Linked DNA regions of Canis lupus familiaris. The main gene of each other region encodes a partner of the protein of the gene in region 2 in a complex. Links are inferred from orthologs where the notes say so. Each region holds a gene or a part of one and is shown on either strand. Other genes may lie near its edges. The genes, in order: ARNTL, CLOCK and CIPC.

Region 1 (9,858 bases), on a different chromosome or scaffold from region 2:
CTGTAAAATAGGAATAAGAAAAGAATCTACCTTATAGGGGTTTGAGAGAATTGAAGAGTTGATGCATATAAAGCTCTTAGTATAGCATTGACACATTGTAAACCTGTAGTAAATATTGTTGTTATTTTTTAAATTTTCTTTGTTATTAATGTTATTTTTAGCAACACATTCCTACCTGGCTTTCTACAGAAAAACACGTCCGTCTTAGGACTTCTCAGCTTCCTTCCAAAGAGACCACAACTACCTAACTTCCTGGTCCTATTATTGGCTCCTCCATTCAATCTAGCAGTCCTGAAATTTGACTTCATGTCTGTTTGACTTTGGGGTCTGGATTTATTCCATTAGACTAGCAGTTCCCAAATAGGACTGCCTCTCAGATACCAAAGATTTTGAATCAGAATCTTCCAAATTAGGACTTGAGAATCTGTATTAAAACAAAACAAAACAAAACAAAACAAAAAAGACCTCCTCAGTTAATTCTAAGGGATCTGACCATTGGATCAGAGTTTGGGGAACTACTGTGGATTATACTATTTTATCCTCACTGGTTTTATCTGTAAAGTGGGTGCAGTAAATACCTCTTTCATAAATTGCTAACCTAGTATGTATTGAATCTTTCCTGTGTGCCAGGTACTATGCTAAGGATTTTCTATCTATTGTCTCATTTAACTCTCACAGCAATCTTGTGAAGTAGATACTAGATTAACCCCATATTACAGATGAGGAAACTAGTGTTGCTTGATAAAAGCCATCCAGTTAGGCAAGTGTGGAGAGTAAGCATATCAACTGCTGGACTTAATGAGGATAGTATATTAGATAATGTATCTAAAGCACATGGTACACAGTAGGTGCTCAATAAATGTTCCCTATCCCCTTCCTTTTATCTATATAATTTTATTCATGCCCACTGAATTTTAGATTCAGGACAATACTTCAACCTTAACAGTGCCCAGAAAATTAAAAACCAGTATTCTGGTAGGTAGAAAATAAAAGGGAAGTGAGTCCCAGTGGAAGATGGAGGTTGCTTGGGATCTCCAACAGAAAACAAACAAATAAACACAACTATAGCTACTTATGGGAGAACAGGGTCACTTGAGGAGAAACAGTAGCTGGGCCACTGAGGGTACTGAAAAGTACTGAGGGTACTGAGGGTACACTGAAAAGTCAGGGTGATAAACTTTAAAAGAGGAGGACCAAGGTATGAAGGTAGAACCATGTCATCTCAGAGAGGCAGAGCCCTGGAAGGACACCTGTTCCAGGCCCCGTCCCACCACATGGTCATCCAATTATTATGTAGACACTTTCTGTACAGGAGATTCAACTTATCAAGGCAGAGGAGGTTCTATTAGTTAGAAAACTCTTCATATTGTTTCATTCTAGAGGTTCTACTACAGGTCCCCCTTCCACCCTTCAGGGCTTGAAGAATGAGCCTAATTCTCTTCTTTCACAGCCCTTCACATGTATGAAGACAGTTATCTTATACTTCCTGGGGCAAAAATCTTCTGCTTCCTTTAATCTTTCCTCATATGACATATTCCCAGCCTCTTGACTTCCTGGTCTCTCTCCTTGTGCCTGTTTTTACTTTTCTTTTGCCAGACCTTAACTGGAGACACTATGTGTGTGATGACCAACACTGGGTGGTACTGTAACACCCAACTTGCTTTCACATGTCAGACTTTTATCGATGCAGCCTAAGACAAGCATCCATTTATCTGGGCAGCCATACTGAGGACTCAGATCGCATTGTCTGCCCCCTAAGACCCATTAGGTTTGCTCTTATAAGCATCTGTTTAGATACCTCTGCTTTTCTGCATTTAGTTTCCCAGGGTGGGACCCCCCCCTCCACATTTATCCCTGGGAGAGCTAGCCCATTGCTCCCAGATTGCATTTGGCTGATGCTATGCAACAACACCTCTTCCCTTCCTAGTTTTGTGTCATCTAGAAATGTGATGCAAACCGTCTGGGTTTTCATTCGGAGCACCGATAAAAGTCCTGAAGCCTAGGCCCTGCAGACAGCTGTCAGTCATTCTTTTTTTTTTAATAATTTATTTTTTATTGGTGTTCAATTTGCCAACATATAGAATAACACCCAGTGCTCATCCCATCAAGTGCCCCCCTCAGTGCCCGTCACCCAGTCCGTCTGTCATTCTTGATGGGAACTGGTATGGTATGAAGGTTTTGAAGTCAAATAAACTTGGGTTTGGTTTCTGGTTCTGCCACCTACTGCGTGATATTGGACTAGCTGGTTAACGCTTTGAGCTTCAGTTTCCTCATCTGTAAGGTAGGGTTGTGAGGGGCAAGGGAGAAGCTGCAGGGAAAGCATTCAGCACATGGATTCATTAGTCAGCGTCTGTAGGTTATGGTTACTTAACCTACCTAACCACTTATTCATCCAATTAATATACTAGACCCGGGCTAGTATATATACTACAATCAACTATATACTAGAACCCGGGCCTATATTTCTTCATCTTGTCCGCGAATATCTTGTTAAGTGCATTGCTAGAAATGCCACTTCGGTAGAGTGGTTTCCTTAGGAGATCAGGGCGGGGACGACGTAAACAGCAATCAGATCCCAGCTGCATATAAATTTAGGAAAGATAGTGAGCTACCAGTGAAGTTGGGTGACCTCGACAACAGTCAATACACCGGCCGCAGGCGCGTACTGGGCAACCACTCCGTGCCTGGCAGTGAGCTGGGGACAGCAAGGATTTTTACAATTGAAAGGCAGTGTCTGGTGTTCAAGGAAAGAGGCTACAATTCCAGCGTCAGAGGGGCTGGTCTGGGTCATGGAGCTGAGGGCAGAGGTTTGCATCCACTGGTTCTTGCCTCAAGCACTCGGTTAGGCGTCAGGCCCCTGCCCCCAGCCGTCCATCCCATTCCCCGGAGGCGCCCGAGGGGCGCGGGGTGAGTGAGAGGAAGGCGGGGAAGAACGTCGCCGTCCCGCGCGGGGGGCCCAACATCTGGAAGGTGGAGGTGTTCGCGCTGGAGGCCTCTGCTAAGTGCTTGGGGTGCACAACCACGGCTCGCGTCTTCTCAGCACCTGCGACGGGTCCTTGCGAGGAGACCGTTCATTTTGTTGGTAGCCGTTCCCTTCCGTCCGCTCCCGGGGCCAGCCTTCGGCCGCAGGGGCGCGGGGGCGGGGGGGGGGGGGCGGGGGCCCGGGGCGGGGCGCCTCTGCAGACCCCGAGGCCGCGCTCCCTTTGGACCCCGCAAGCCCGGCTGCTCGGGGTCCGGCGCTCTGCGTTCCCAAGACTGGTTTCCTAGATGGAGTCGGAGGGAGGCGAGCGAGGAGGCGCTGCTGGGTTTTTCTTTTCTTTTCTTTCTTTTCTTTTTTTTTTTGGTTGTTGTCAGGGTGCCCGAGGGCAGGAGGGGGAGGAGGAGGGGGCAGAGCGCGCGCGCCAGGGCCCCGGGCGGAGAGGGGCAGCCCCGGCGCCCCGAGGAGCGCGGCGTCCGCGCCCGCAGCGGCCGCCCGAGCCCGAGCCCGAGTCCGAGCCCGAGCCCGAGCCCGAGCCCTAAGGGGCAGGGACGCGGCCGGGGCGAGGAAATCCGGGGGAGGCGCGCCGATTGGTGCGCTGGTCGGGGCGTGCGCTCCCGGGCGCCCCGTGATTGGTGGCGGGAAAGCGGCAGGTAGCCCGGCCCCCCGCCGCCACGCCATTGGCCGGCGGGCTCTCCGGCTGCCACGCCATTGGCCGGCGGGCTGCCCGGCTGCCACGCCATTGGCCGGCGGGCCGCGCAGCCGCGCGCCGATTGGCCGGGGCCGGCCGCCGAGCCCGGCTCCCTTCGGGCGCCCGGATTGGCTGGCGGGGAGAGGCAGGTATCCGGGCTCCGCGGCTCCTCCATTGGTGGGCGGGGAAGGGGGGTTGGGCGCCGCGATTGGTGGGCGGGGGGCCGGGCCTGGGCCGGCGGGGAGCGGATTGGTCGGAAAGTAGGTTAGTGGTGCGACATTTAGGGAAGGCAGAAAGTAGGTCAGGGACGGAGGTGCCTGTTTACCCGCGCCGGACTCACCGCCGCCGCCGCCGCGGGATCCGAGTGGGGGCGCGGACGCGGGCGCTCCCGCGAGCCTCGGTGAGTGTCGGGCTGGCGGCGGCCAGCGGCGCGGCCCCGCGCTCCCCGTCGGGGGCCGTTAGCACCCGGGCAGGCGCGGCGCCCCCGCCACCGCCCCGGGGCGCAGCCCGGCCGCCGGGGCGCCCTGCCCGACGTGCCCGCTGCCGGCCTTAAAGGGCCCGTGCCCGCTCCCATGCCCCCACCCGGCCGCGGGGAGGCTGCGCCCCTTAAAGGCGCCGCGCGCGGCCGCCCCCATCCTCTCCCGCGGGGGCTGGCGCTGCAGGGTAGGGCGGGCAGAGGTGCCGCAGGCGCCCTTAAAGGGACCGGAGAGTGTCCGCGGGAGCGCCCACCTCCCCTCCGCGGGCATCGCTACCTGCCGGGGCGGGAGGCAGCCGCCAGCTGCCTCTTAAAGGGGCAGCTCCGCCCTTGGGGAGCCAGGATCCGGCTCAGGGCGCGTCTCAGGATGTATCCCCGGGAGCTGGGGCGGGGGGTGGGGGGGCCGGGGGGACCCCCGAGTGGACCGTTCTTGACGGCTGCACCCCCAAGGGCGCTGGGCGAGCAGCGCCTCTCCTGCCCTCCCTCCTCGCCATCTCCTGCGCTTCCCTTTCCAGAGCCTGCGGGGCTGGGAGGGGGCGGGAGGGCGTCTCCGTCGGGCTCGGGGAGCGCGAGTCCGCTCGCCCCTTCGGCCCTGTCCCGTCGCGGGGCCCGGGCGCTGCCCTCCCCCCCGTCCCTCCCCCCCCCCCCCCCGGGAATGTGGGGCCCCGGCTGGGGCGGACCTCAGCCCGCGAACTTTCGTCCGGCCCGCGCCGCCCGTGTCCCCGGCGGCCCCGGGAGCATCCTCCGTGGGGCTCTGAGCAGGTGCCCGACGGCTCGGGGATGTCCCGCCCGCCCGGCGTCCAGGCGTGGGCCCGCCGCCCGCCCGCGGAGCCCTGGAGCCCCGGAGCCCCGCGGAGGGCGCAGCCGGCCCGGCCCCAGCGCGGGGCTTGACAGATGTCAGCAAAGGAAGGTTCCCGCTCGCGAGGGCCGGCGCTGACGGCCGCGAGAGCTGCGGTGTGCCGGGCGGTGCAAGTGCAAGAGTGGGAGTGGGTGCCGACCGCGGGGCCTGAGTCAGCGACCCCCGGAGGGGTCTCGGGAGCCGGCGGCGCGGGGCGCGGGCAGGTGTCCGAGGGCCGGCGCGGGGCGGGGGGTGGGGGGGGAAGGGGCGCCCTGGACCTTGGCGTCGGGTGGCCCTGCCTGCCCCGGCCGACGGGGGACCAGGCTGACACCCTCCCTCCACGTCCCTATCCCCGTCTCCCTCCTCTGCTCGGCCCCTGGCCCCTCCCCGGCCCAGGAGCCTTGCTAGTCTCTGCTCCCTGCTTACAGAGCTGCTCCCCAGCCTGGAGTTATTAGCCGAGTTTTCTCACCTAGCTTCCAGAAATAAGATTCGGTATTTGTGAGGAAGCATGTCTTGACTGTAGCTGTATTTCCAGGGTCTTCGTTTTTATTTATTTATTTATTTTTTTTAAGAATCCACAAACGCTGCCCATTAGATGATGCATCTCGGTTCCCACAAGGCTTGCCTGTCCTTCTGACATCTGCTGCTGTTCCCCCACTTTAATCTATTTTTATGTGACAACTATTATTTTAATTCTTCTGGTCCCATTGATATCAGGATCTGTCAATTTGGGTTGGTGGAGTTTTTAATTAATGTACTGGTTGAATCATGAGCTTAAAATAATCAGTGCTGCTCCTGAGCAGTTTAGAATAATCTCATGCTCTTCGTGCTTGCAAGTAAAAGGAAAAAAAAAAAAAAAAAGTCACTGCTGTTAAATTACATTTCCATATCAATGAAACTCCAAAAATATTTTTTTCAAACATAAATATTGAATTTTTTGGTCCATGATCTGTTACTGAGTTCACTTGATTGGTAAGTCTTTCAAAACAGTTTGTTGAAGCTATTTGGAAGGCTTTGGAATTGCCTATATCATCTGAAGCTGGATCTGTGGAGGTATTTTGTTTTGATGGTTAGATGTAGCCAGTGAAGAAGAATAATTTAAACTGTAGTTAAATGTACGCCTTTTTCCAACCCCTCAAGTTTAAAGAGAAGGCGAGAGAAAGGAACAAGCGGTGGAAGAGCACTAGCCTGAGAGTCGGAACATGCTGGTTCTGGCCCAGATTTGGGTTTTCACGGCTGTGCCACTTGGGGCAAGTCACTGAACCCCTCTGGGTTCTGTTTGCCTCAGATGGAAAGTAAGGCAGTTGAAATAGGTGATCTCAAAGGTACCTCCTGCCCTAGAGTCCTCTACATCTCTTAATATTTAATACGTTTGAGTTCAGGTTGGTATTTACATCCAGAACATCTGAGCTGAAGTCCTATTTTCACAGGAAACTTAAACAGAACAACAGATGGGGTTTTTAAAGAATCCATTTCGAATGATTTATAAAATGATGACTACTCGGGAGTTTGTCTGCCTTCTGCAGAAGAGGTTTGCATACCACATGGAAGAAAAGGAAGTGGCCGTGTTTTCAGATTTATCCTTCCACGCCAGCAATCTCTGTGCAATTTATGTATTCCACGATGAACGAGCACTGTGGAAAGACTTGGCTATGTTAACAAAACTGCATGAGAGTATATAAAAACTAAATATTTAATATCTCTCTTTGGTGTAAGAGTTGCTTTCCTTCTGTGAGCTTTCTTCTGTTTGCGATTGCAACATCAGCTCTGAGGGTGGTTAGAGAAAGTCAGTATCAAAGAAACAATTTCTGCCCCTTACGACGTTACAGTTACAGGATGATTTTAGTTAGCATCACGGTAGATACTGGCAGGGAAGTAAAAAATCCTCTCTAGACCTTGAGGTTTAGTGAAGAGCCCAGAAACACAGGCACGCCACCCTCTGCAGTCTTTTCTTTCCTCATTGCCACTTTGCCACTTTGTCACAACAAAAGTACCCCAAACACCCACCCTGGCTTTTCTCCTCTTTCTCTCTCAAAACAGGACCTGCTCCGACTTGAACTGTCAGCATCTCTTCCTTCTTGCTCAAAATGTCCTGCCACCCCCCACCCCCCTCATGTCTCCTCCTCTCTTTCCAGTTCAGAAAAAGCAACTGGATCTCTCTCTTCTGTTTCTTTTTCTTGGACCTTCACTTTGGGCGGGAGCCTGGACTCTGGTGCCAGGACTTAGGACTTGGGTTCTGATTAGACAAGTGCTTGACCCCTCTGCGCACAGGCTCCTCCCCTGTGGTGTAGCAACAGTGCCTGTCTCATGGAGTCTGCGTGAGGATCAAGGGAGATGGTGCATGTAAAATGCTTGGCACACAGGAAGCCCTCCCTCAGCGCCTGCTGCCACGCCCTCCCACCGCTGCCAGGGTCCTGCCCCCTGAATATCCTCCATGCTGTTTGTCCTCAGCCTCCTCACCAACCCCAGAAAAGCATTCATCTCAATTTAGTAGAGGAAGGACAGAAGGGGGGGAAAAACAGCCCTTCTGTGGGCCTGTGATGCAGCAGGCAGCTTTCACTTGTCTGTACAGGGTACCCCTGAATCTGGATGTCTGTCTCCCCTCTCCCTGCCCGGCAGCCTCTTGCAGGGCTGTGAACGTTCACCTCTTCCACTCTCTCATTTGCTCTGTCTGTCACTCCCACCCTCTGGCTGCTCTCTCTACAACCCTTCTCTGTTGTTCTCACAGATCTCCAAAAACTTTAAGTCTTGAATTCCAGGGGCCTGTCCTTAATCCAGAATGGTTGTTCTGGGTCCCTCTGCAGCTGTTCCCCTACCTTTCATTCCATCCGTCTTCAAATTCCCTCTTCCTTCAGCCTTTGGGTCATGATGCTTTCTTGGTCCTCTTCCTGCACACCCTTAAAGGTGGGTGTTTGCCCTGCCCACTGCTCTTCATACTGTTCCTCTCACCCAGGGTCCCATTTTCAGTCCCAATCTGTCTCTCCTGCTTCAGCTGCTAGCAGGTTCATCGTACACATTAATGGCCCCTGGAGCCAGCATTTGTGATCTTGGAGTCATAGGCTGCATGCTACTTGCAAGTGCTGTCTCATCGCACTGGTGCCTGTACCCCTCGACCCCCAAGCTGTCCCAAGAGGCAGTCTGTTTGAGTGGTGAAAAGTGCAGATTGCACATCCTAACTCTTCCTTACCAGCTTTATGATTTGTGGTCAAGTTCCTTGCTTGCTAGGTCTTGGTCTCCTCAGTGATAAGCCTGGGATCGCTGGAGTCCTTACCTCAAAGAGTTGTGGTGTAGATTAAGTGAGTTAAAACTATTTAAAAATACATGAAGCTATTCATGGCACACAACAAGCATTCAGTGAGTGTTAGCTCTTGGTGCTTCTCCTTCTTGCCTCTGCATATCCAGCCTGCCTGGCTGTGTGCACAGGACTATCCAGTCAAACTGAGGGGCTATCTGTTCCCTGGACCAGCCCTTGGCCCACTCCATGTTCCAACTCTCTCATGCCAAAATCTTATTCTTCTCTAAGACCCAGCTCAAAGCTTGGTCCTCCAGGAGCTATTTCTTCATTGTGGTTGTTTTCCTCCTCACACCTGGCAGCAGTGTCCCCAAGGCCTGGATTTAGCTTGAATTGGTAGGCACTGCTGCATGTGTTGGGCTGTTTCGGGGACTAGCTCCCCTCCTTGCTCAGGCTAAGCACTTTGGGGGGGAATTCGTCTTGATTTCCCCAAGTCGCCTTCAGGATGTGCTTGTCCAATCTCAATTAATGATCCTTTGAGGAGGAGATGAGGGGATGGGGTGCATCAGGGACGTGCGTTGGACATGGCCAGGAGTAGTTAGATCTACAGGGAGGAGAGATTTGAGTTTGGGACTTAATGTGGTCAGAGGGATGAGATTGGATCAGCTTTAGTCATCTTTGCTTTAGGGGAATGTCGAGTGCTGGCATATGATGAGAAATGATTTTTACGTTAGTACATGCTGTCCTTTCAAACAGCGTAAACTCATGTTCATCCAGCCTGGTTAAAGAAGGGGATGGAGGTCTGCTGGATATCCTATTCTGGGTAATATGCTACCCATTGGATTTTGTATGTATACCAAGTAAAACATTTCCATATATTTACATCTTCAACTACTGTTTGAAATATGTGACCTGGGCAAATTAGTTAGCTGCTTATTACCTCATTTGCAAAATAGAAATAATAGTACTGATGGTATTAGTGGCTAACATTTTATTGAACACTTTCTGTGCGCCAAAGATGTTAGTCACCTTATGTTTCTTAACATATTTAACCTTCCCAACAACCCCATGAGGTAGGTACATGATTATCTTTCTTTTTTTTTTTTTTTTTACAAGTGTAGTGGTTTTGGAAACTGCCCAAGGTCACTTAGCTAGTGTGGGGCGGGGCAGGATTTATGGCCAGAGGACTCCAGAGTCTGCTCTCTAAGCACCGTCCTTGGGATCTGCTGGGGGGAGCCACCAGATGAAATGGTGCGTGTGCAGTGAGTGGCTAGTCCTGTGCCGGGAGGCAGTGATGGGTAACCAATCTTTTTTTTTTTTTTTTTTAAGATTTTGTTTATTTATTCATGAGAGACACACACACATAGAGAGGCAGATACACAGGCAGAGGGAGAAGCAGGATCCCTGCAGGGAGCTTGATGTGGGACCCGATCCCAGGACCCTGGGGTCACGCCCTGAGCTGAAGGCAGATGCTCAACCACTGAGCCACCCAGGCGCCCCGATTGGTAACTAGTCTTACTGTTGACAGATGTGGTTGTGCACCTTGTCTCCTGCAGGACTGAAGTCCTCTGCAACAGGAGTCGATGGCGGTTTCGATCTCACCCCAGGAGCAGTTCCGAGGGCTTGTGAACATTCTTCTCACATC
Region 2 (9,181 bases):
AAGACTAAGCCAGGAGCAGAAATTTGAATTCAGGTATTTAGTGAGGAGTGACCTTAAGGTCAGTAAATGACTGCAGCAATAAGAGGTAGTCATATAGTGATAATGTGAGATTCTGGCTATGAGTTTTGAGAAAGAAGAAAAGGGAAAGGTTCTGGGAAGAGCAGTAGGAGGACTTTTGTTCCCCTCCAGAGCAGGGTTCTGAAGGTTAGGAGATAGAAAATAGGCACCACTTAAAAGATCTTTAAGAATGCGGTATTTTCTAGAGACATCTGGGTTTTAGTTAGAGCAGGCCAGCAAATGGATATTCAGAGGTGAGGTTGAGGATAGATTTGGCTGATTATGGGTAATATTCCACTGTATGGATATATACCACATTTTGTTTATTCATCTAGCAATGCACACTTGGGTTGCACCTATCTTTTGGGTACTGTGAATCATGCTGCTGTGAACATGAGTGTACAAATATTTGTTTGAGTCTGCTTTCAATTCTTTTGAGTATATACCTAGAAATGGAATTACTAGATCATGTAGTAATTTTATATGTAAGTTTTGAGGAATTGTCATACTGTTTTCTTTAGTGGCTGCACTATTTTATATTCCCACCAGCAGTGTACAAAATTTCCGGTTTATCCTTGTCAAACCTGGTGATTTTGTGTTTTTTTATTTTATTTTTTTTTTTGTTTTTTTTTTGTTTTGTTTTTTTTTTTTGTTTTTTTATTTTAAATAATAGTCATCCTGATGGGTTTAAAGTGGTTATCTCACGGCTTTGATACGCATTTCCCAAATGATTAGTGACATTAATCATCTTTTCATGTGTTTTATTGGCCATTTATGTATCTTCTTTTGAGAAATATCTTTGTAAGACCTTTGTTTTTAAATTGGATTTGGGCAGCCCTGGTGGCGCAGCGGTTTAGGGCCACCTGCAGCCCAGGGCGTGATCCTGGAGACCCTGGATCGAGTCCCACATCAGGCTCTCTCTGTATGATGCCTGCTTCTCCTCTGCCTGTGTCTCTGCCTCTCTCTCTCTCTCTCTCTGTCTCTGTGAATAAATAAAAATAAAATCTTTAAAAAATAAAAAAAAAATAAATTGGATTCTTCGGGGGAAGGTTGCTGTTTAATTGTAAGGTTCTTTATATATTGCGGGTGTTAATCCCTTATCAGATAAGTGGTTTGCAAGTGTTTTCTCCCATCCCATGGGCTGCCTTTCCACTCTATTTGTAGTGTCATTTGATGCACATTTGTTTCCTATGCTTTTAGTGTCACATGCAAGAAGTCTGCCCAATCCAGGGTCATAAAGCTTTTCCCCTTTTCTTCTAAAAGTTTTATAGTTTTAGTTCTTATGCTTAGGTCATTGATCTATTTGAGTTAATTTTTATATATGGTATAAATTAAGAAAGACTATAGCTTCATTCTTTCACATCTGTTTCTGTAAATAGAGAATAAAGCCAAAATTTTCTGGCTATAGAAAAGAAACTTTTATTTCCTTACCTAATATTACACAGGTACCTTTGCCTTGTTGTGGGTAAAAACTGATTTTGGGGAGGAAGGGGTAGCAGGCTGTATCATTAATTTGGAATCTCTGAACTGAATCTCAAGAATACATTTATTTTACTCTGTCTCTTTAGAGCCAAGATTCTGGGTCTGATAATCGTATAAACACAGTCAGTCTCAAGGAAGCCTTGGAAAGGTTTGATCACAGCCCAACCCCGTCTGCTTCCTCCCGGAGTTCAAGAAAATCATCTCACACAGCAGTCTCAGACCCTTCCTGTAAGTATCCTAGCTTGAAAGCACTTTCTCTCAAGAGAGTACTTCTAATGTGTTACTAGTATCAGCATTTTTCATCAAATGCTACTTTATTTCTTATATGGAAAGGTTTACTGTAGTATTGATTGAAGTACTCTTTTTAGATCTTTTTCTTTTTAGTTGAATTATAATTAACATATGGTGTCATATTAGCTTCAAGTGTACAATATGATGACTTAACAATTCTATAAATAGTGCTCATCATGATAAGATCTTGATCCACTTCACCAATTTAAGAAACAAAACAAATGAACAAAGAAAAAACAAAGAACCAGATTCTTAAATATAGAAAACAGACTGGTTGCTTGCCAGAGGGGAGACAAGTGGGAAGGTGGGTGAAATGCTACTTCAAAATGATAAATTTAAAAAATAAAATGATAAATTTTTGCATCTCTGAAATATACTAACCTTCCAATGAGCAAAAAGCATGTCGCTCACATTTAACAAAGAATTAAATTTATAAAGAAGCCTATAAAATGTTTAGGTAGTACTGTTGGTATTGTTAAGTTGCTTTTAATCATCCCTCAAAAATAAAAAAGCAAAACTGTTTATTCCTTTATTTACTGGTAGAACCAGCCAGTGTTCTTTAAGTTTGCTTTTTTTTTTTTTTTTTTTAAGATTTTTTTTTATTTGAGAGGAAGAGTGCAAATGCACAAGTTGCAGGAGGAGCAGAAGGAGTGGGAGAAGCAGGTTCCCCACCCAGCAGGCAGTCTGACCTATGTATGGCTCAAAGCCAGGACCCTGAGATCATGACCTAAGCCGAAGGCAGATGATTAAACTGACAGAGCCACCCAGCCACTTTTTTTTTTTTTAAGCCTGCTTTTTGAATGTTATTTTTAGTTCTTATTTTTAATGAAGACTTGTATAATTATCATTGAATTAGTGACCTTTTTTTGTTTAAAGAGTTTAGCACTTTTATTTCCCAGGTATTAAAACTATGTAAGGAAAAAGGTTGTTGGAACCACTCAACACCGTGAGTAGACCATTAGAGGTGTTAAACATGGAGTTTCTGAAATGTTGGAGAAAAAAGTTTCCCCTTTGAAGCTGTTTTTCTCTTTTTATACATTTTATTTTACTGTGATAAGAATGCTTAAAGTGAGGTCTACCCTCTTAAATTTTTAAACATACAATGCATTATTGTTGACTGTAGGTTGTAGTGCAGATCTCTAGAGCTTATTCATTGTACTTAACGGAAACAGTTTACCCATTCATTAATAACTCCTTATTTTCTTGTATCCCCCCACAGCCCTTGGCAATCACCATTCTACTCTTTGATTCAATGAATTTCTGTATTTTAGATGCCTCATATAATGGAGTCATGTAGTACTTGTCTTTTCATCTTTGGGTTTTTGTACTTATTAGCATAATGTCCTCAAGATTCATCCAAATTGTCATAACTTGCAAAATTTCATTCTTTTTAAAGGTTGAATAGTATTTCATTGTACGTATATTACCACATTTTGTTTTTCCATTCATCTGTCAGTAGACAGATTGTTTCCACATCTTAGCTATAAAGAATAGTGCTACAGTGAGTGAACATAGGAGTGCTAGTATCTCTTCGAGATCTGATTTCAGTTCTCTTGGATAAATACTCAGAAGTGAAATTGCTGGATCACATGTGGTAGTTCTATTTTTAATTTTTTGAGAAACTTCCATTATTGTTTCCCATGGTGACTGTACCGTTTCATATCCCCCCACCAATTTTAAGTGTACAAGGATTCCAATTTCTTTACATTCTCAGCAACACTTCTTGTTTTTTTGATAATAGCCATCTTGTCAGGTGTGAAGTAGTATCTCATTGTGATTTTGATTTGTGTTTCCCTGATGATGAGTGACCTTTAACATTTTTTCATATTCTGGTTGGCCATTTGTGTATCTTCTTGAAGAAATGTCTATTCAAGTCATTAGGCCATTTTTTAATTGAGTTACTAGGATTTTTTACTATTGAGTTCGGGGACTAGTAACCATTTTTTTTTTTTAAAGATTTTATTTATTCATGAGAGACAGAGAGAGAGAGAGATTGAGAGGCAGAGGGAGAAGCAGGCTCCATGCAGGGAGCCTGACTCGGGACTCGATCCCAGGACTCCAGGATCAGGCCCTGGGCTGAAGGCGGCACTAAACTGCTGAGCCACCCAGGCTGCCCGACTAGTAACCATTTTTAAGCTTAAAGTTTGCCTATTTCAAAGATTTTCTTTGTCCTTAAGAAAGAAGTAATCAAAATGAATCCTCTTATTGTCAGACTTCCCTTTTATAAAATAATTAGAAAAATAGTTGAAATATTATTTTTATTCACCAAAATCCATTTTGAGATTAATCCTTGGGAATTAACATTTTATAAAGTACTAACACTATTTCATTTTTGTTGACTAACCTCAGCAACACCAACAAAGATCCCAACGGACACTAGCACTCCTCCCAGACCACATTTACCATCTCATGAAAAGATGGCGCCAAGGAGGGCATCATTTAGTAGTCAGGTAAACTTTCCTACTTAATATTCTTCTGAATAAAGATTTATTAGAAGGAGGGGGAAGTCATCTAAATCTTTAGAAATTCATTAATGCATTATCCTTTTCTATAAAGATCAAAATAGCTGTTGATAAATAACACTTGCAATCTTTCCCTTTTTGTGAAATAGCTCTCAAACATACTCCTTTTGCTTGTTTTCCAGGTATAATGTTAGACATTTCTTTTAATTAAGAAAAGTTAATAATTAAACCATTTATATCTAGTTTTGAATACTAATCACTTTTATGTCCATTTGACTTTTATTGAAAGCCCATGCAAAATAATGTGGCAGATGTCTTAGAAGATAAAAGGATAAATAGGGAATAGGCATGTCCAGTGTAGAGGGGAAGATGTGCATACACCTGTACTCAGCTAAAAATGTTATGAGGCAAATTGTAGTTCAGTTATAAAGATGCCATGTGGTATTTCTGTGGAAGTACTTATGGATGGGAGTAATTGTCACTCTAGTATTATTTTTTATTTTGCTTCCTAGTCCATAAATTCCCAGTCTGTTGGTCAGTCGTTAACACAGCCAGCGATGTCTCAAGCTGCAAATTTACCAATTCCACAAGGCATGTCCCAGGTATTTTTGTTTATTTGTTTGAGTTGAGTATTTTAAAATGATAAATTGTTTTTAAGCTAATAAAGATTTGAAAAATCTATATATTTTTAGTGCAGTGAATCTCACCTGTGGGCATTTATGTCTGGGGGATATTTCTGATTGTCAGTGATTGTGGAGTACCACTGACCCATAATAGGCAGGGGCTAGGGATGCTAGTTGTCTTTCAGTATGCATGACAGTTTTGCACAACAAAAAATTATCCTGGTTTATATGCTATAACACCCCCACTGAGAGTATAGACAGAAAGATATTAAAGATGAAATATAGCTGTCGATTTTGTTATTCCTATGGATATTGGAAGAATCAAGTAATTTTATTCATGTATCCATTCATTTGTATATGGGACATTTATTGAGTTCCTTGAGTTATTGCAGGTGCCGGCAGTACAAATACAAGTATACTGTTAAACATTTAAAAGCAATGACCTAGAACTACATTGCTAATGTTATGTAGTCTGTGCTTAAGGTGTATAGGCTGATATGTGAGTGCATTAGATGGACTCCTAATGCAGCCTGAGGAAGTGAAGGAAAACTTTCTGGAAGAATTGTTGCTTGGGCTGAGTCCTGAAGGGGCCTATAGCAAGACAGAGGAGAGGTATTACAAAAGGGACACGAAGTTACTTCTGATTATAACTTCCCAACTTGTAATTTATGACTCTGCATTCATTCAGTGCCTCAAACACATTAAAAATACTAGATAGTGGTAAAAAGAATCCAAACTGTTTTATTTGCTTAACTATATCTTCACTTAGTATTTCAAATGATGATAGTTAACAATAGGTAAAAATGGTTTTCTAAAAATACCTTTATCTTATATGGTTATTATTTAAATTATATGTACATAATTATAGCCATTATATGAGACCTGTACAAATATATTGACAGTGTTGTAAATTACCTAAACATTGTAATCTTGACTTACAGCAACATGATCATGTAAGGTGCTTACGTATTATCTGTAGTCATAATAGTTTTTATCAACATTGAGTCCTCAAATGCTTTTTGTTCTGAAGGTTAACAGATTTTTTATGTAAATATTTAGATGTGCTTTCAATATTATTTGTTCACTCATCTCAAGATACTGAATGAGTATTTCTTAACATTTTAAGGGATATTTTCATGAAATTAATAATGTCTGCTATGTCAAAAATGTTAACAAGTGTCAGATCTCATATTTTGTTGAGTGAGAAAGCCACTTTACCTCTTAGTTCCTTTTATTTTTTATTTCCTGTTACTGTGCCTTCTGTTTATATCTTTTATTTGCATTTAATAGAAATCCTTTAAGTGATGACAATATAATGTTTACCCAAAGGTGTAAATAATTTTTAAGATAAGATACATCATATGATATAATTATAACATTTTGGATAATATTTTTTTAAGGCATGAGGGAGCTGAGGTACAAAATTTGAAATATTTTGTCATAGTGTAATCAAATGCAGGATATGAGGTGATGATTGTCAACTTCAGAAGTCAGAGTTGTATACCTTTTGAAGAGTAATATTCAGTATCCTCAACACAAACTTTTGAAGATAGAGAAAAAATCTTTTGGTGGGAGGGCATTTCTCACTTTTAGATGCAGTTCACTCAAGGAGACTTTCTTTTTATGATTTCATTTATTTGAGAGAGAGAGAGCATGTGCAAGAGAGTACATGGAGGGAGGAGCAGAAGGAGAAGCAGAGGCTCCCCACTGAGCAGGGAGCCCAAAGTGTAGGGCTCAATCCCAGGACCCCAGGATCGTGACCTGAGCCGAAGGCAGATACTTAATTGACTAAGCCACCCAGGTGCCCCTGTAGGAGACTATTTTAAGATTAAGATGCTTTTCCAATAAATTGGAATTCTTTCTGCTAAACTATGTCCTAAGCTAAATATTCATGGAAATAATTAAATGAGCATTTATACACTTAAGTGATGAATCACTAAGTGTGGCTAAATTTCAAGCTAGTAAATAGAAGCTGCTTATGACTCAAGTGAAACAGTGAAATAAGATTGAAAATCCTGGAAGTAGGATAACTGTTTTCATTCTTGTATGCATTTTTTCATTCATAATTACTTAGTTTGTAAAAGTCTACATTTCATACTTGTCTGAGAACAGTTTCAGTTGAAAATATGAGTAAAAATATGGTTAGTTATCTGTTAGATTTTTATAACCTAATGGTGTGTACAAAGAGGACATTCTAGGGATAACAGAATTTGATATAAATAATTCTAGGAGCAGGCTACTTTTTCATTTGTTAAATGGTAGAAATTAAGCAACTTGTTCTAGGAAATGGTAGAGCCACAATATGAGCTCTGTTCTTTTTTTGTTGTTATTTTAGAGAGAGAGAAACAGCACATGCACCGTGTGTGAGAGGGAAGGGGCAAAAGGAGAGGGAGAAAGAGAAAATCTCAAGCAGACTTCATGCTGAGCTCAGAGCCAGAAGCAGTCAGGGCTCAATCTCAGAACCCTGTGATCATGACCTGAGCCAAAATCAAGAGTTGCAGGCTTAACCAATTGAGCCACCCAGGCATTCGTGAGCTCTGGTCTTCTAATGCCAGTGTGTACTTCTAATCAGTCAAGATCCAGTCAGAAGGCAGAAGCCATACCAGAAATTTGAAATAGGGGTAATAATTTTAAAAATTATTAACTAGTAACAATTCCAAAGAATATAGGAAAATGGATGTAAAGAGCAGTTAGTGAGACGGAGACTATGCAAAGAAGGAACAAGTTGGAAAACTCTCCCGACCTCCTAAACTCTTCTCCAGCCAGGTTGAAACTCACTTTCCATTGGGGTTGATATGGCTGCAGCAGCCACTTGATGGAAGAACGGTTCACTGAGGTGCCACAGACCAGGGCTGGAGAGTAGGAAGCCACCTGCTGGGATACCAGCAAAATTTTCAAGGGAGCATCCCATTAGGAGGCCAGTAAGACTTGCTGGAAAGTCATCTCCCTTTTCAGTAATAATTTCTCCCTTTGCAGTATCCCTCTAGCTCCATCTACTGACATGACTAAGTTTGTGTCTGCTGACAAATATTTATAGGTCCAGCCAAGCAAAGGTGGGTGAATTAGGTAATACATTGATAACTGGCATAACATTCTTGTCTCATGATATATTTATTCTACTTATTTTTCCCAATTATGAAGAGTAAGTGATTCTAAAATATGTTACACTTTTCCCATACATGGTACTTCAGTTTCAGTTTTCAGCTCAACTAGGAGCCATGCAGCATCTAAAAGACCAATTAGAGCAACGAACACGGATGATAGAAGCAAATATTCATCGACAACAAGAAGAACTAAGAAAAATTCAGGAACAACTTCAAATGGTCCATGGTCAAGGGCTGCAAGTAAGTTGTTATTACATTTGAATACAAGCAAAGCAAGCCATTTATATTTTAGTTTCTTAGGAAAGTTGACTTTTCTTAATTAAAAATAAGTAAGAGATACAGTTCATCAATTTAGTTGAGTAAATACTCATTGGTTACCTACTCAGTATGATTGCACTTACAGTCAGATTCATTCCTAAGAGTATTTCCATCAACATCCTTGTTTCTCCAGATCAGAGTCTCCTTTAGCAGTCTAACTTTTAGTAAGCTTAAACCCGTAATAGAAAAATAATATTTTATATAGACTTTTAGGTACAGAGTTTATAAATCAGTCATCAGTCATTATTTTAGTAAAATACTAGAAGATATGATTTGAACTAGTCTTATTTGGTCAAAGGACAGGGCCACTGTAAAGTTGTATCTCTCAGAGGAGACTTAGATTTTGGGGTAGGGAAACTTTAAGTTAAAACTACTTCTATCTAATGCCATACATTATAAACAGTGAGTGATGCAGAACCGCAGGTCCATAGACCTTTTGGGTAGCTAGTAGAACAGACAATGCCCAATATGTAAGATGTTCAAACAAGTGGAAGTTTTGAAGTTTATACGCCTTTTTCTGACAATTGGAAACACAATAGGGTTAGGATGACTGGAAGAACAAATATGAATTCTGTTTTATTCAGTAATTGTTTATTGTTGCTAATTGTTCACTCAAAATGACTTAGCCATCCTCTTTGCTTTTTAAAAACTTAATTCATAGCTTGTTTTTGCTTCCTTTTTTTTTGATTGCTCTCATTCTTCTTTGTTTTTAATCTACAAAGTTCATTTTAATGTAATCTTTATTTTTAAAGATGTTTTTACAACAATCAACCCCTGGTTTGAATTTTGGTTCTGTTCAACTTTCTTCTGGAAATTCATCTAACATCCAGCAACTCGCACCTAT
Region 3 (9,938 bases), on a different chromosome or scaffold from region 2:
TAGAAGGCCATGCACTTGTGCCTAGAGAGATTGATGGGGGCCAAACAGGCAGTGCCTCATAACCCATGATCGGTCAGCATTTTATTTTATTTTTAAAGATTTTATTTATTCATGAGAGACACAGAGAGAAGGGCAGAGACACAGGCAGAAGGAGAAGCAGGCTCCATGCAGAGAGCCCGATGTGGGATTCGATCCTGGGTCTCCAGGATCACACCCTGGGCCGAAGGCGGCACTAACCCTCTTAGCCACCGGGGTTGCCCTCGATCAGCATTTTAAAAGCATTTTGGATGCTGGACTGAAAGTAAAGTGAAGGGAGGTAAGAGAGGCACTGAGATCACTCAGATACTACCACAGTAGCCAGGGTGAATTAAAGTTGTAGCAGTGGAGATGGAGAGAAGCGAACAGACTGGAGATCTATTCAGAAAGAAGACTTGATGGGAATTGGTCATTGCATGTTGGGAGGTAGATGGTGGTACCATTTCCTAAGCTAGGCAGCCCAAGAATTGCACAGAGGGACTGGGTGGGGTGGCTAGGCTGGTCCAGTCTTGGCCATGTAGAGAGAAGTGGCCGTGGGTCATCTGAGTGGAGACGCTAGGGAGACTGTCACATGTACAAGTGGGGAGCCCAGAGAAGTTAAAGAAGCCTAGACTTGCCCCAGTGACACACCTTGTCCATAGCAGATCCAGAATTTGGCTAGCAGTGAAAAGAATGAGACAAATGAACCCTTCAAAGGGCTGGCAGAGGCTGAGAACATTCTACATATTTTAACAAGGACATCTGAATCCTGTGGAATGGCAGTGGTTAGGATGGCATAAGACCACAAAGGCCATTGCAGGGATAAAGAGGACAGGAAAAATGGCAAGGGCAATGAAAACTGGGTAGAATTCATATGTTGAAATCCTAACCCCTAGAGAGGATGGCATTAGGAGGTGGGGCCTTTGGGAGGTGCTTGAATCATGATGGTGGAGCCCTTGTGAATTCGATTAGTGCACTATAAACCAGACTCCAGAGAGATCCCTTGCCTCTTCCACCACAGGACTGTGAACATTCTGGGACCCAGAAGACGACTGTGCTCATCCCCTGATCTTGGACTTCCAGCCTCCAGAACTGTGAGAAATACATTTTTGTTGTTTATAAGCTACGCAGTCTGTGCTGTTTTGTTACAGCACCATGAATGCACAAAGATATTAGATATAAACAATGCTTGGTGATGTTTTAATTCACAGTCCACTTGCGGCTCCATCCATTCATCTTTCTGAGTGGAGCGAAACACGAGCTCCCTGCCAAAGGGCACTGTATCTGGAATACCCTGAAATGCCACGTCTGAACATTTCCCTAGCAGAGGATCTAGTGAAGAACATCAACTACTCCAGAAGCAGAGGAGCAATTTAAGATAAAATTAAAGACAAGGATGTTTACGAGCAATCATTTTGCTCCTACTTTTCATACAGTAGAAGTGGACTAAAGGGAAATCTTCTTTTCTTTTTTTTTTTTTTTAAGATTTTATTTATTCATGAAAGACACAGAGAGAGGCAGAGACACAGGCAGAGGGAGAAGCAGGCTCCATGCAGGGAGCCTGATGTGGGACTCAATCCCAGGACCCCGGAATCATGATCTGAGATCACGCCCTGAGACGAAGGCAAACGCTCAACTGCTGGACCACCCAGGTGTCCCTAAAGGGAACTCATCTGAATGAGACTGAATTTTAAACACAACTCCAGGGGCACCAGGGTGGCTCAGTCAGTTAAGCATCTGCCTTCGTCTCAGTTCACAACCTCAGGGTCCCCGGATTGAGCCCTACCTCGGGCTCCCTGCTGAGTGGGGAGCCTGCTTCTCCCTCTCCCTCTGCTTGTTACTTCTCCTGCTTGTGTGTTCGCTCTGTCAAATAAATAAAATCTTAAAAAAAAAACAAAACACAACTCCAAGTAAAAACTATTTGGACCATAACTTATTCAAGGGGACTGGCTTCCCCGCTTCAGTCAGTCAAACCACTCTTACACAGGTCACAAGTTAAGTACCATGTGCACAAGATACACAATGGCACTGTGCAATCTTGCATAGCACAATAGAAAAGTGATATCTCTAGTGGGTAGCTATGATGTTTGACAGCATGAATAATCCAGTTGAAAAGGTAGACCTGGGAGGCCCAGTGGTTGAGCATCTGCCTTTGGCTCAGGTCATGATCTTGGGTCCTGGGATTGAGTCCCGTACTGGGCTCCCCGCGGGGAGCCTACTTCTCCCTCTGCCTGTGTCTGTGCCTCTCTCTGTGTCTTTCGTGAATAAATAAAATCTTAAAAAAAAAAAAAAAAAAAAGTAGACCGAAATGTAGAACTGCATCTCTAATTTAATCAGGATCCTTTTGTATGGAACCCAACAAATGTGCATAGTTTCATTTTTCTGAAGTAATACCATGGAAAGTAAACCCGAAGCTTCTTCAAAATGGAAGGAGATGTAGCTTGTAGATGGGCAATGAGACTTATTCAAGTCTGACCCTGCTGTTGATTTTGATCAGGAAGGGTAGCTCATGTTAGTTGCAACTAATTGAGCACTTGGCAGAGTTCCACATTACCTTACTAGAGATGAATTATTTTACAGGTATTTTCGATAAAGCACCCCAGTTTGGTCTATAATCCTTTTGAAAAGACAACGAAAAAGGTCTTGCTACTGTTACTGTTACTGTTAGTGTGGTCAACGGAACTACAGAAGATATGTAGGAATTTTCTGGCTCATTGAGAATGTGCAGGACAATACTAATTGTGGAATCAAAACACAAACATTGGCCAATAGGTTAAAAGGAGAACAGATGCAAAAATGTTAAGCCCCAGAAAATTGGTGGCAGCTGGAAATAAAGAATGCATAATCCACTTTAGAACAGCACACAGGGGAGGCTGGGTGGTTCAGTCGTTTAAAAATCTGCCTTTGGCTCAGGTCATGATCCAGGGGTCCTGGGATCGAGTCCCACGTTGGGCTCCCTGCTCAGCAGGGAATCTGCTTCTTCCTCTCCATCTGCTCACGCTCTCGCTCTCTCTCTCAAATAAATAAAATCTTAAAAAAAAAAAAAAAGGCAAACTACTTTGGATGTGAAAGTGACTAAAAACATGGAAGCCTCTGTCCTAAGTAGAGTTCTTTTTAAGCCTTGGGAAGGTTTCCATGGGATGGGTAATGAAGGGCTACATCATCCCACCTTGACCTGTCCTCTCTGAGAGGAGAGGCACTGCCTTCCTGGGTGTGGCATTGGGGACGTCAATGAGCCAGTGAACAACAGATCCACTCATGCACAGCGCCACGTGAGGCCCATGACATGAGACAAGCACGCAGCGGGGGAACTTACTACCACCGCTCTCAAATCCAAGGCCCGTGCAACCAGCAGTCTGAAAACCTTAAGATTTTTTTTCCTCTTCAATATTATTTTACATTGAACTTAGATGCTCATAAGCTGACTAGCAGTTGGGAATGGGTTACTGAGCTCTCACCCACCATGCCATCTCCTGCTTCCTGGCACAGACTGGAAACCACTAACGCACCCTGCTTTACAAACATCTGAGGTCCTCACATGTCTGACTTTCCATTGAAAGGACTCCAGCTTAAGTACCCTTAGACTGTCAGAATCGACCCTAAAGGGGCCTCTTCTAAATGCAACCGTAACACATTGTCCAAAATGTTCCCAGAGGGAAGAGTACACATGAAACTCATAATAGAAAGTGAATTGAGGGTGACCTGGGTGGCTCAGCGGTTTAGCACCACCTTCGGTCCAGGGCCTGACCCTGGAGACCCAGGATCGAGTCCCACGTCGGGCTCCCTGCATGGAGCCTGCTTCTCCCTCTGCCTGTGTCTCTCACGAATAAATAAATAAAATCTTAAAAAAAAAAAAAAGTGAATCGATAAATACAGAAGTTTATATAAATAAGTATAACATAAAATTCTAACAAGTGCTCCATAGCACTTGGATCTTCTATTTTTACACTCCTTACATTAGGGTCTAGTTATTTGTCTCCTCAACCTCAAGAGTTCTCTTTTTTTTTTTTTCCATCTTTGCAACCTCAACCCTGCACAATTAATATGTGAGGTCCTCAACAGAATAATACATTCCAACAAATCTTCTGTCCTGCTGAGTCTCGCTGACAGCAGAGCAGCTTAGCTGTCACCGAAATACCTGAACAGCTTGAAGGTCAAGACTGCATTTCCAAACACCATGATCACCTCAAGATCTAACTTCCAGGTCTGGTCTCCTGTGAGAAACAGGTATCTCATCTACCCCTTATTCTAAGGTGAAACCTCAGGGGTAAATCCACCAACTGAATTAAAGGTTGTCTAATCCACAATCTTTATGGAGATTTAGGCTTCTGATAAAAGGGAGACCCAAGGTTTACAAGGAAAGGATCTGAAATGCTGCTCTCAGATCTTTCCTTTTATAGACACTTGGCAACTTTCCCAAGAGCTCAAGTTCCCTTTAAAATGCATCACGTGGATAACATGCGTGCATGGACAGAGGTGTGAGGTGAAAGCCCAAGCAGAGGCTTAATTACAAAAAAAGCACAAGGCCATAAAAATTAAGACCTTACCACCCAGAAAATCATGAGTAATCCCAGCTAGAATTATAAATACATTACTGGCTTTTCCCTGAAGTTATTTTCTCCTGGTGTCCATGTGGGAGATACCACTCGGGGGAAATGTCTGTGTGTGTTAACAGAGGGAGGACCCCGTCCCCCAACCTAAATCTCAAATATTCATCCTCCCCTTTCACATCCACTTCCATTCTCCAACTTGGCTGCAAATTTATGTCAAAGATCCCAAACCCCGATTCCACACGATGTCCTGTTTGGAGGACCAGATATGGCTCCCTCCATTCTCCTCTTTCAAAGAGGAGATAAGATCAGAGAAATTCTCCAAATCCCCAGCTTCCCAGAAGGGTTCACAGTAACAGTGCCCACCTCCCCGTTCGCACCAGCCCACGCTGCATCTGTGCCAGACAGTAGGAGCACCCTCCAGGCATCCACCAGCCTGCCAGCTCAGCAGGGCAGAACTGGGCAGACCCTAGGACTGTGCTGTGACTGGCATACCACCAGACTCCCGGGGCAAACGCCCAGGCAATGTGCACTGCCAGGGCTTGGGCAATAACAGGGAGCCCGGCTGCGGCCTGTGCCCTGAGCCCGGCTCAGAACTACCCGAACCTCCCCCCACTAAGCACTAACTCCTCACTTGGCGCTGCGCACCTTCTCCCCCCACCTCCCCACGCGCTGGCACCATACCTGGCAAGCTGGCCACCCGGGAGACACAGCCAGCCAAGTGGGTGACAGCAGGTCTCTGCAAAAGGCAGCACCCCTGCGTCCCGGGCCGAGGAAGGGGCCCTACGTGCACCCCCACCCTGGAGGCGCGGGGCCCTCCCCGCGCTGCCAGCCCCGCGCCCGCTCACCTGCCCGTTCCCCGCGCCTCTGCTCGGAGCCCCTGGAGGCCTGCGGGCTCGCCGCCGCCCGCGCCCAGCAGACCCAGCCCAGGGCCCCGCCGCCCCGGCCGCGTACCCCACTCGCTCGGCACGCTCGGCCCCCGGGCCCCGCCGCCTCCTCGCCCACGCAGCCGCGCCCCTCGCAGCCACCGCAACCGACTAAAAGGGGGACAGACGCACCGCCCCCTGCTCCCACCTTTCGGCCCTCCGTCCCCCCAGAGTCTGGCCCTCTCTTTTGCCCACGCCGCTTCCCTCCTCTCCGCTACTCCTGCGCCTTGGCCCACGCTCCCGGCGCGGACCCTCTACCCCGGGGCCCAGCCCTCCCACTCTCACCTAGGGCCGAGGTCGCCTCTCCACGACCGGCCCCGCGGGTCAGGCGGCGCATGCGCGAGCCCGGCCCCGCGGCTCCATGACAACCCCGCCGGCGCCGGGTCTCGAGCTACTCCCCACCCCCACCCCCACCCGCGCGCCTCCCGCCCATTTCTCCTCCCTCCGCCTCCGCGGCGGCGCTCTCCGGCCACGTGACTCGGCTCGGAGGACCCGGCACCATGGAGACCGCCGACGGTTCTCCTAGAAGGGCCCCGCCCCCCACCGGAAGGCGAGGCGGGACGCCTCTCAGGGAGGCGCGGGCGTCCCTAAGAGGCCTACACTCTCTCCGCGGGAGGCGGGCGTCTCTATGGTTGGTTCCGCGGGTTCGCCGCCATTTTGTACAGGGTTAGGGTCAGGGTCAGGGTTAGGGTTAGAGACCCCTCCCCACCCCGCCCCCTCCCCCAGCGCAGAGCCGGGCGGGCACGGCTCCGAGGCGGGGTTTGGAGGAGCCACGGGGGGCCGGGCGTGGAGCGGACCCGAGCGGACGGAGGTGGCCGAGGGAGTGGCTCCCGGTCTGTACGCAGGGACCCCCGCGGGCCGGCGGTGCGGACGGGCCTGCCGGCGGGCACGTGGGACGGTGGGCGGCGCGGCTGGGCTGGGCGGGCGGGCGTTCCCAGCCACCTGGAGACGGTGGTGCACGAGGCAGGGGCGCGGTCGGTGCTTCTGTCGGTGGCTCCGCGTCGTTGGACGCACGCTTGCTTGCTTTGCCCCCTGCGACCGCGCGAGCTGGCGGGCTGTAAGTGGGTACGGGTCACAGCGAGCACGCGTGTACAGAAGCTCAAGGAAAAGGGGCCGGGATCACCTCTCCTGCATCCGAGCAGGGAGGGCTCCTCATTAGGAGACGGTCCTTCTAAGGTGCATGCACAGGGACCGACAGGTGGAGGCGACTTCTAGAGCTGCCCTATCTAGTCGCCGCTTAATCACTAGCGATGGTTTATTTTTTAAAGATTTTATTTAGGGCAGCCCGGGTGGCTCAGCGGTTTAGCGCCCGCCTTCGGCCCAGGGCCTGATCCTGGAGACCCGGGATCGAGCCCCGCGTCGGGCTCCCCGCGTGGAGCCTGCTTCTCCCTCTGCCTGCGTCTCTGCCTCTTTGTGTGTCTCTCATGAATAAATGAATGAAATCTTTTATAAAAAATTACAAAATTTCAGAGATGACTGGGTAGCTGAGTCGGTTAAGCCTCTGCCTTCAGTTTAGGCCGTGATCCCAGGGTCATGAGACTGGAGTCCAGCCCCTGACCCCTGCTAAGCAGGAAACCTGCTTCTCCCTCTCTTTTAGCCAATCCCAACCCACCCCCACCCCCACCCCCGTGCTTGCTCAGGCTCTAGCTCTCAAAAAAAAAAATATATATATATATATAATATATATTATAAAAATATATATTATATATTATAACGTATATATTTTTATATTATAAAAATATATAATATATATGTTTATATTATATATATATATATTTAAAAGAAATCTAAAATTTCCAGCGCCTCATTTGCACCAGCCTCATTTCAAACCCTCCATGGCCACGTGTAGCTAAACGGCTACCTTATTGGGCCTCGCAGATGATAGCAGCACATTGCCAGTATCACAGAGTTGTATTCCACCACCGGATCGGGATCACGGGTCGGGGAGGAAATCGCCCCGTGTTGGTAATCCGAGCCTTTTTAAGCGCTGCTAGGTCATGGTTAATCACGTTAGTCCTCTAGACACAGATAATGCTAATGCATTACTCCACATCAATGTTTTTATTAGCCTAAGCCCCACCAACAAATAATAATTGAATGCCTACAGCGTGTAAGGCTTTTGTTGAGGGGATGGAGGGAGTGAAAACAATAGTTAACAATTATCAAGTAATTAAGATCCAGGCAGCTTTAACATGCATTCTCTCACGATGCTTCTGCAAATTTATGAGGTTGGTGCTCCTATCATTTGTAGTTGACAGATATGAGAGCAATGAGGTTTATGCTACTGATGACACAAACTACTAAGTCAGAGATCTGAACCATTAACCATATTGCTTCTTTTTATGGGGGGGGGGGACAGAATAAAACAGTCTTTGTCTTCAGACACCTTAGAATCTGATATGGGAAAGACATGCTCTAATAAACTATGTGAGAATGTTGTTAAGTGTCAGAGGATTCTGACCATAAGCTAATTAATAAAATCAAGGAAGAAAAAAAAGAGCCTTCAGTTGTTTTTTTGTTGTCGGAGAAGGAAGAGAGCAGAAGGTAAAGCTTTAAGGACAGATAAAAGTTGGATTTACGATAATGGAAGTAGATGAGGGCATAATGCATACCAGGCAACAGGGAATCAATGAAATAAGGCAAAGCGTGAGGATTATTTTAGTCCCCCAAAGGTGCAAGTAAACCAGACTTACCTTATTTTACCTGTTTTATGAGCAGACATTCATGCTGCAGCAATAACTTGAACTTTAAGGACAAGTTTGCTAATGGAACCAAAATCAGACCAATTTAATTTGACAGGTGTGATTTTTGTTGAGTATGGATTTATATAACTAATGATATAAAATAAGCAATTCGGGGCAGCCCTGGTGGTGCAGCGGTTTAGCACCGCCTGCAGCCCAGGATGTGATCCTGGAGACCCGGATCGAGTCCCACATCAGGCTCCCTGCATGGAGCCTGCTTCTCCCTCTGCCTGTGTTTCTGCCGCTCTCTCTCTCTCTGTGTCTCTATAAATAAATAAATAAATAAATAAATAAATAAATAAATAAATAAATAAATAAATAAATAAATAAATAAAATCTTTTTAAAAAATAAAATAAGCAATTCATAAAAACAGGTAATTTTTTAAATGAATAATATTTTTATATAGCTAAACCAATGTAAAAAATTTTCTTCCTGGGATCCCTGGGTGGCGCAGCGGTTTGGCGCCTGCCTTTGGCCCAGGGCGCGATCCTGGAGACCTGGGATCGAGTCCCACGTCGGGCTCCCGGTGCATGGAGCCTGCTTCTCCCTCTGCCTGTGTCTCTGCCTCTCTCTCTCTCTGTGACTATCATAAATAAATAAATTTAAAAAAAAATTTTCTTCCTGGCTTTGTTCATTTGCCAGGGTTTGTAAATCAGCATCTTTGTTGATGGTTTCCTTGGTGCCATGACTTCTTTCATCTTTACTGTCACGCTTACATTTAGGCTAAGGTTCCTATGAGGAGAGTGGGTATCAGAGCACAATGTCTTCTTGCTGAAGAGTCCTTTCCAGTTGGAGTTCTCCGTACCCCTTGTGTTCAAGACTCGTTTTGCCACCACCACTGCCAGCAGGGGGAGACCTGCTCCCTTAAATGCTACACTCAAGGTTTTGCAAATTGGCTTCTTTTCCTTTCTCCGGCCCTGGAATGCTGCAGCATGGAGTCAGAAGCTGCACTTCCACCCAGCCTACTTTATTAAGCTGTTGACTCCCTTGTCCATATGAAGATTTGCATTTCAGTCCTGCACAAGGATGCCAGGAAGAGTCAACCTTGTGTTCAGTTTCGTTTGAAGATATTTTCAAGTATACAATATGGTCTATAATTTAAAACACTTGTAATTAATTGTCTAATACTTATTTTAATATGTAAAGTTGAATTTAAAGTTAAAATTAGCTTAGAACTATTTTAAAGTAATTGAAATAGAGTGAATAGAGTGAAAGTATTCAAAAGATGAAGTTTCAAATCCCTGCTTCTATCAATATCATTTTATAAAATAAGGGCATTTTGGCCAGCCCAGGTGGCTCAGTGGTTTAGCGCCGCCTTGAGCCCAGGGCGTGATCCTGGAGACCCAGATCAAGTCCCACGTCAGGCTTCTGCATGGAGCCTGCTTCTCTCTCTGCCTGTGTCTTTGCCTCTCTCTCTCTCTCTCTCTGTGTCTCATGAATAAATAAATAAAATCTTTAAAAAAAAAATAAGGGCATTTTAACATCTTTCCCCCACATATACCCAGGAAGGAAGATAGGCCATAATCTCATGATTTAAAAATGAAATAATTTCTACTTCATGAAAAATTCATTGCATGCTTCTTATTTTTCCAGTTTTGTTGAGGACCAGTGAAAACATCACCTCAAGGCATCAGTTCTTGGACCAGCACCTGAGAACCATCTTGTATTTTCCCAAACCTTAGTCTGGCCATCTGTCAAGTAGCTA

Evidence for each region.
Region 1: the proteins of CLOCK (region 2) and ARNTL are in contact, whole or in part, in a crystal structure (PDB 4F3L), measured with the Mus musculus proteins. The link is inferred for Canis lupus familiaris from reciprocal best matches to the Homo sapiens genes CLOCK and BMAL1. Residues at the interface, in NP_001276755.1 of Mus musculus: Arg46, Gln49, Phe50, Leu53, Ile54, Glu56, Leu57, Met60, Leu61, Pro62, Lys70, Ser71, Leu74, Gln75, Ser77, Ile78, Phe80, Leu81, Arg82, His84, Lys85, Thr88, Glu95, Ile96, Gln98, Asp99, Trp100, Pro102, Phe104, Leu105; in XP_030097882.1 of Mus musculus: Lys70, Met71, Phe74, Ile75, Glu77, Leu78, Ser80, Leu81, Val82, Asp93, Leu95, Leu98, Arg99, Ala101, Val102, His104, Met105, Lys106, Leu108, Arg109, Gly110, Ala118, Tyr120, Lys121, Pro122, Phe124, Leu125, Asp127, Asp128, Glu129.
Region 3: the proteins of CLOCK (region 2) and CIPC are in contact, whole or in part, in a crystal structure (PDB 5VJI), measured with the Mus musculus proteins. The link is inferred for Canis lupus familiaris from reciprocal best matches to the Homo sapiens genes CLOCK and CIPC. Residues at the interface, in NP_001276755.1 of Mus musculus: Gln519, Leu526, Lys527, Leu530, Arg533, Ile537, Asn540, Ile541, Arg543, Gln544, Glu547, Leu548, Ile551, Gln554, Leu555, Val558; in XP_006515773.1 of Mus musculus: Asn401, Thr402, Val405, Leu406, Ser409, Leu411, Ile414, Thr415, Thr418, Leu421, Ile422, Asn425, Thr428, Gln429, Leu432, Leu435, Lys436, Thr439, Gln440, Phe442, Ile443, Thr446.

What each region holds. Positions count from the first base shown.
Region 1 is NC_049242.1:36,825,399-36,835,256, forward strand, and holds the start of ARNTL (aryl hydrocarbon receptor nuclear translocator-like protein 1), read left to right. Parts: upstream 1-3,913; 5' UTR 3,914-4,068; intron 4,069-9,858. UniProt on the Homo sapiens protein: Transcriptional activator which forms a core component of the circadian clock.
Region 2 is NC_049234.1:48,466,876-48,476,056, reverse strand, and holds part of CLOCK (circadian locomoter output cycles protein kaput), read left to right. Parts: intron 1-1,625; coding exon 1,626-1,767; intron 1,768-4,179; coding exon 4,180-4,280; intron 4,281-4,804; coding exon 4,805-4,894; intron 4,895-8,106; coding exon 8,107-8,259; intron 8,260-9,089; coding exon 9,090-9,181. UniProt on the Homo sapiens protein: Transcriptional activator which forms a core component of the circadian clock.
Region 3 is NC_049229.1:50,240,931-50,250,868, reverse strand, and holds the start of CIPC (CLOCK-interacting pacemaker), read right to left. Parts: upstream 6,313-9,938; 5' UTR 6,289-6,312; intron 5,907-6,288; exon of another isoform or gene 5,777-5,906; intron 5,773-5,776; exon of another isoform or gene 5,640-5,772; intron 5,515-5,639; exon of another isoform or gene 5,414-5,514; intron 1-5,413.